Coturnix japonica: one gene and its partner. The protein of the gene in region 1 purifies or fractionates together with the protein of each later gene. This does not show direct contact. Links are inferred from orthologs where the notes say so. Each region holds a gene or a part of one and is shown in the gene's direction. Other genes may lie near its edges. The genes, in order: KIAA0556 and CILK1.

Region 1 (3,821 bases):
TGTAGTCCCAGGGTCTATGTCAGGCCTGAATATAATTAAATTCACGAGTACAACATTGTTTGTATACATGGATAGGCATCCTATGGTTTCTTTATGTATAAATACAAAAAATTATTGCCATGGGATGTTTAGAAGTTCAAATACATTAATGCCTTAATTAGTAGATGTTACAAAGTACTAGCTAGCAAGTTCATTTTTAGTTTGAATTAAATGCAGACTTCAGCCTCGTGAAGAATACGCTGTATATTTCATATTTTCCCTGTGCTTCTGCTGCTCACTGCTGTCAGAGAAAAGATCTTACCATAGCTGGTTATTTGTTCTGACCCATTAGGGATGCTGTTATACCCAAGGGAGCTGTACACTGGGATTTGCTATGCTGTTTGCTAGGAGACAATTGAGGTTGTAGGCACATACAGCTTCTCAGTGTTGACAGCTACATCAGCTTTCAGCTGGGGCTCCAGCTTCCTGGGCTAGCTGTTCCCTCAAGAATTTAGTAACAAGTTTCAACCCCTCTGATAGGCCCCAGGTGTTCAGTTTTCAGGTTTGAGATGGGGAAAAAATAACCACCATCCAACTGGTATCTGTATTATTTTGTATTGATAGTAATATGCAGGGAGATTTAACTGGTTTTGACAGATAAATGTGCTTGCTTCTGATACAGAAAGCAGAAGCAGAACACTGCTGACTGTGTGGTAGACAGGCTTTAGGTCCAGCTTTGGTGTAATCACATAAACCACAGTGAATGACTCAGTCACCCAGCCTGAACTTATACAGCACTAGACCTAGCACTTCTGTGGATGACTTCTGGGTACTGTTTGGCTTTACTCAATGGTATTTCAGTTCTTCTCAGCTACCTTTTCCACTGATTAAAAATCATAGTTTCTCACTCAGAAATTCATATCTTCTATTGCATCCTCGTTAACGCCGATTGTTTCACTTGATGGTTCTTTGTTCTTGTTAGCACAGATATTTGCTTTCTACTGCAGCAGAAAAATAGCTCCTTAGCAATGCCACCTAAAACTTGTGCTGGTGTCTAACTCCTGTCTTCACTCATTTTCTCTGTAATCTCTCTTCGTTTCTGCTATCCGACATCCTTTTCTCAGGTTGGCTTTCCTTCTGAAACTCCTTTGGCTTGTCTCAGAGAAACAACATCAGGCTAAGCTTTTTCTTTTCCCCTGGCATTGTATCATAGTGAGGTTAGGCTTACTATAGCTGCTTCTTTCTTCATCTGTCATGTAATTAAGGGAGTAAGGGATGTGGTGGCAGTGAGAACGTGAGTACGTGGCTTATCCCCTCACCCCCAGAAGTAAGAGCAGATAAGTACTTCTATGAACTGAATGATCATTTCCTTTTAGTCTATGCCTCAGGAATAATTTTGACACAACTGCATTAACGAGTGACTCAGGGTTTCTTGCTTATTTTTGCTCTTCTGGTCAGCAGTGCTTGGAAATACCTGCCCCTGTTAAGATACATTGGTCTAATGACCTGACCTACCTTATGGTGATGTATTTCATCGCTAAGTTGGTTGAGGCTATGCATATGAATAGAATATAGAACTGCATCAGTAAAAGGAAAGGAAGATGGTGGTTATCATTTTACCTATGCCAGCATAATTAAAGTGGCAAAACGTTAGCATTTAAGGTACAATAATAATTCCTGTCTTGCTACTTCTGATGATCTCTGAAGTTGATTTTTCTGTTTCCTTATCTTACAGAATTGAAGCCAGTGCGAGTTCTTTCAGCCAAAAGAAAAGATAATGCTGAAATGTACATTCCTGTCAGACCAGTTGTGGTAAAAAATAAAATCAATCGACCGCTCTCTGCTGAGTCCTTGCAGCCAGACAGGCAGGAAAGAATTTGCCATAGTAAGGAATATGAATATATGTCAGTAAAGAAGATGTTAATGATTTTGTTTTCCAATCTGATTCATGTGTAATTTCATCTGTCATTATAATATTTTTTTTAACCTTTTATTATTATTTTTTTAGCACTTCAAGAATTCAGACTTAAGTAGGATTGTGAGGAAAAAATCCAGAGCTTGCACACTTGAGTCTGTGCTGTGTCTTTGTTAACTTTCTTCTCTTTTTGCTTCTATACCATAAGATTTCCTCCTCTCGTTTTGGTCCTTATATTTGCTCCTTTCCATTTCTCTGATGGATTTCTGTTCTTTATAGCATTAGCAGAAGTGTGTCTTAAGATCAGGAATTCATGCTTAGTTGAAAGCTTTGAACACAATGCATCTGTAGAAAGAAAGGAACTGAAATTTCCCATGGCCAAAGTTGATGCTTTTAGATTTTAAGTCTCCTCTCCTTTAAACTTTTTTCCAGGCTGTGATGCTTCTGTTTTTCTGTCATGTTTGGGAAGATGGGTGCAAGTTCATAAGGTCATTTATCTTATGCTGCAAGTATCAATGTCTGAGTCTCTTGATTTTTACCAGAAGAATCTTGGGATTTCCCAGAATAGCTGAATACTCCAGTTACATTGAAAAATGTTGGTGGGCTGAAATTATATGTACTTTTATTTCAATTAGCTGTTGCAAAGCATTCCCAGTAAACGTCTGAAAAAATCAACTACATTTTTAATGCATAAAAATCCCATTTGCCGTTTTTCAGTTTTGCTTCTTTTGTGATGCAGTTCCATCTGTTATTTAGGGTAGATGGAAAAACAAATTGGAGCAGTTTAACCTTGCTTTAGTTCGTTACTGTTTAGTTAGTGTAGCACTGTACTAGTAACAGAATTGGATGTTTCAGATGTGTGCTGTTGAATATTCCATGCTTGTTTGTCTGTACAAATGGCTATTCCTTTGTGCTTTTTCATGGCAGGACCATTAAGTCGACCAGAAAGACCACTTTCAGCAGCTCGAAAGAATGAGTGTGAAAAGGACTCTGAACTCTCTGTTTCAGCTGTGGTTAAAGCTATGCAAATTGAAAATGAAGCCTTGCAGAGAGATTTGCAAAGCCAGTCAGTTTCCACAAGCCCTCAAAAGGTATGGCAAGAAAGAAAAACAAGTGTTTCTTCAATAAGGAGAAAAGAGGGTTTCCTTGAACACGAATTATAATAGTTAATTCTTACACAATTGTAGAATAAACAGTGATATCTCAATTGTAATTGGATTTGTATTACTTCCATAGGGTGTGGGTGTTTTTTAAATCTGGCTCCTTGGATACCACCCCACAGCTTTCTCTTGCTTTCAGGGATCACTGAGCAACTGATAGCTCACTCGTGTGATATGTCTACACAGTCAAGTGCTCAGCTGTAGGCCCATTTGAGCCATTTTCATTCTGAAAGCTTCCTAAACAAGATATGTGATTTCCTTGCCAATATTTCCTACCATCTTACTATATTTGTTAATACGAGCACAGTTTCTTGTTAATAATACATGCTCAGCATGTGCAGTGTGTGTATATCTTTTATCTCCAATAAGCACATTTAAAAGCAATTAAAAACTTTATAAACAAGGAAATTAAAAAAGTCTACTCCCTTCAGGTCAGGCCATTGTTCCCTTTTAAGTTAAAAATCGGATTTGTGCAGATGTGCTTAGAAGGTGGGATGCAAACAGGGAGAGAATTTGTTTTGTCATAAAAAATGACAAGACTTGTCCTCTGTTGGTTTTTATCCCTTACGTAATTGAATTACAGAATGGCTTGGGTTGGAAGGGACCTTGAGGATCATCAAACTCCACTGCTCCCACAGCAGGCATGGTCACCAACCTCTACATTTAATAACAGACCAGGTTGCCCAGGGCCCCATCCAAACTGGCCCTGAACACCTCCTGTGTTCAATTGCTATGACAGTTCTGTATTTCCAAAAACTCAAGAATAT
Region 2 (3,821 bases), on another chromosome or scaffold:
TAGCTTCATAGGAAGTCATTAGGTTTTCCCCTTCTCATTGCCATCATTTCCCACAGTGTGTTTTCCACTGCTCTGCTGCTCTGTAGTGTTACAGGAATGTGTGCTCTCAGTCTGTCCATGCTGACTTCTTTAGCGTACGGCTGTATTATGACTAGATGATTTTATTTAAAACTGTTTTCTTTCAAAAGGGACAAAGGTTATCCAAAAGGTCAGTCAAAGCTGTTCTCTCTTATGGTAGAGACAAGTTTGGTAGTGAGTTGCCAGGTTTGGTACATGAGTCTATTCCAGTTTATTGGAATAAACAGAGGCATACAGAGGATCCATGGACTTCAGGTATCTTTGGAAAAATTCTTGTTTCTATCAGTCCCTGATCAGCTTTCATCTCAAGTGCGGCCCATCACTTTGCACCTTTGTTACCTGTGCAGGAGATGTACTGCACTGACCACAGCTGTTCCTTGCATTTTCTTTCAGGTCCTATAGGATCAAATGGTCTAACTGGTGGTTATATCCCTTCATTTATGAAGAAGGAAGCAGGCTGTGCTGGGCAGAGAGTTCAGTTAGCACCAATTGCAGATCCATCTTCAAGTAAGCGTGGTACCATCATCATCTTGGTCCCTTGCTCGTTACTTTGGTTATTCTGTGTATATGCAGCATTATGTTATAGATCCGTGCTTTATTTGTAGTTATTTGAGTGACTGGAACTACTGCTCGGAGCCTTGCAGAACTTTGTATATAAAAGAGTTAGTTTTATTTAGTTTATGAACTATGTGTTTTAACCACAGCTGTTAACCAATAAGGACATTGGAATGGAACATAGAGTCTGATGCGAGACCTGGCACAGAATTCACACTTACCAATCCATGGTGTAGGTGATCACAGAATAACAGAATGACCCGGGTTGGAAGGGACCTCAAGGATCATGTAGTTCCAACCCCCCTGCCTGGCAGGGCCACCAAAACATACACATTTACTAGATCAGGTTGCCCAGGGTCCCGTCCAACCTGGTCTTAAACACCTCCAAGGACGGGGCATCCACAACCTCCCTGGGCAGCCTGTTGCAGGGCCTCACGACTCTAAGGTGCACTCTAGGTGCTTCTTGTTTTAAGATTTTAAGGGTTTTAAGGTTTGGATCACACATGTTGCTTCACATCAACAAATCCTATTAAAAAAGGATGCTTGTTTCCCGAAGAAGTGAAGATCTACATCTGCATCCAGTTGTCTTTCAGCATGGACAGCCACTTGATTAACCTTAACCTCTTGGAGTCTCCTTTCCTCCCTTAGATTATGCTCCTCTGACGTCAGCGAAACCCCATCTTGGACGGCCACCATTCAATTCACCTTCTAAAAGCACCCCCGGGGTAACGCAGCTCCCACCCCCAGCTCAGCCGATCCATGGCCGCATTGACTGGTCTGCGAAGTACCGAGCTCAGCGGTGACACCTGCAGTGCTCTCCCAGCAGCGCCTATTTCCCAAATGGTGACAGACACGTGACAGTTTTCTACTGTTCTATAGACTTGTAAATTTAAGAGAAGCAAATCTTCTACGGTCGAGACCTTTCTGAAGGTCACTTTGCTTTTGTTTTTTAACTTTCATTTGTATTAATTTCAATGCAATCTTGTACCTTTTTTTTTTTTTTTTGTATGAACTTTTGTTATATAATTGTGTCCAATTATTTTCATAGATCTGATACCTTTTGTATATATGGCTTTAAAGATCTTGGCATTTTGATACGATACATTTTTATAACAAACTTTTTTAAACTGTAACTTTTCCTTCATTGGATTCAACATTTTTTATAAAAACGAGTTTTTAGGAAAAAAAAAGCAAAGTGGTGCAATATTGTGTTGGAAGAGAAGAGTGAGGAAAGGCGCATTCGTTACGATGTTTTCTAAAGCTTATGTGCTAAGTGAGACTGTTCAATTGTGGCGATGCCGCGTCTTGATGCCACACTGCTGCTGTTGTGCACTCGTTTGCTTTGGACACCAAAGGAATGAGTGAGCAACAGCCTAACGTCTCCTCTGCAGCCACTGAGAGACTGCTGGAAGTCCCAAGTCAGTGGGAAGCTTTTCTTTCTTGTATTTATTATTTGAATTTCACAAGGCTCTTGTTGGTCCACTGTCCAGCTTTCCTTTCTTTTGCTTTTACCAAAGCTGGGTAATCTTGTTTTGTAAAGGATAATCAGTAGATTGGTTTCCTGACACTGCTTGTTTGTCCTGCTTCAAAGTTACCTCTTGGTGTTGTTCTCTATGAAATAGAATGTGGACCTACCTCTCTTAAATTTCCTTAAGTGTTTCCTAATGGCTGATAAGGAGAAACATCAGGTTCTGTTTTTGCTGTTGTCGGGAACAGAAGATCCAAATGCATATGTAAGGCGGTATTGAGAATTACAAAGCTAAAAGTATTAGCGAGATGCCAGCAGCAGAGTTTAAGGAAACAGTATCTATGCATTTGACTTAATTTTTTTAACTGTATTAATGACTCTGGGGGGGGGGGAAAGTAAATTTGGAGCAATTGGATATGTTCAAGCTTCAATTCTTCTTCATTTCAATATGTCTTCATTTGTGATGTGAAGAGTACATCAGTTGCTGTAAATTAGGCCCTCAGACTCTACTGGGTGAGAATGAGGCCTTACGTCAGACTGCTAAAAACAATTCAGTTTGAAGGAGAAAATGAATGAGTGGGTTCTAGGCAAAGGAAGGTCGTTTCTGCACTGGAAAGCAGCACCAGAGTTCAGCTATCAGCAAATGCTTCATTTTGGTCATAGTGTTTGGCTATTCCTTCACCTCCTTCCACAGAAGATGAGTCCTGTAGGTGAGATGGTTACAGTGCTGTGGGAGAACGTCTTTTATAGCTGCATTTTTGGATGAGCAACTTCAAAGCTGAAACGTGCTGTGAAAACACATCGTCCCACAGAACTGTACAGAAATGCTCAGCTTTGGGGAAACCTCATCTAAACTCATTTTATGAATGGATTGGGCTGGTCTGGTAGTGATGAGGTGTCTGAAGGGATCGGAGCAGCTGTGGTTCTTGGCATCTGGCTGCTTAGAAGGAGAGAAGTGTGCCAGTGATGTCCTCAGTGGGAGATCTGCATGCCCCGTGAGGGGCACCTGCTGTGGGATGGAGGCTGGTAACACACCCCGGCCTTCTCGGTTCGTTCCATGAGGACACACGGGACTCAGGAAACACCTCCCCATAGTAAGCTGCTGGCTCAGTGCTATGGGGAACCCAGAGGGGCTCTGGTCACTGTTGGCTTTTACTGACTCAATCCACAAGGCAAAAAGGACCAGAAGTGTCTATGCATTAAGAAAGCATGTGCCTAAGACTTGCCATGTCCAGCTACGCCAGGCATTTGTTAAGAACAAGTGCTAACAGCAAACTATACACAACTGCTTCCATAGCAGCAATATTAATGCATAGCAATGACCATTCCAATTCTAAGCCACATGCTGATGTTGTGTTTGGGTAAGTGGAAAGGGAAATATGTATATTTGTGTTAGAAACTGTAAAGGTGGTTGTTTATGTTGGTGGAAATAAATATCTGTATTTATATCTAGATAGCATTTAATTTATTTTATTTTTTGCTGAATAATCGATTTAAGAGGAAATAGCCTGAACCTATCCTAAGCATCCCTAGACCTATATAGGCAGTTTATGTAGTCTGTTCCATACATACAGTTCCAATGAAAGGAGACAAGTCATGAGAGCACGCTGCTGAGGCTTGGGCTCATCCTACCTACCCACATGTGCCTGAGCTTCTTGCAAAGCAGGGAGGAGTGAGAATCACATCTCGAGATGTGCAGCTGACCTGAGGACTTTCCTGG

Evidence for each region.
Region 2: the proteins of KIAA0556 (region 1) and CILK1 purify together in Homo sapiens (affinity purification with mass spectrometry; 3 studies listed by BioGRID and IntAct, with this or other methods). This does not show direct contact. The link is inferred for Coturnix japonica from reciprocal best matches to the Homo sapiens genes KATNIP and CILK1.

Annotation. Positions count from the first base shown.
Region 1 is NC_029529.1:10,587,414-10,591,234, reverse strand, and holds part of KIAA0556 (protein KIAA0556 homolog), read left to right. Parts: intron 1-1,714; coding exon 1,715-1,864; intron 1,865-2,821; coding exon 2,822-2,985; intron 2,986-3,821. UniProt on the Homo sapiens protein: May influence the stability of microtubules (MT), possibly through interaction with the MT-severing katanin complex.
Region 2 is NC_029518.1:80,674,955-80,678,775, forward strand, and holds part of CILK1 (serine/threonine-protein kinase ICK), read left to right. Parts: intron 1-471; coding exon 472-585; intron 586-1,281; coding exon 1,282-1,436; 3' UTR 1,437-3,821.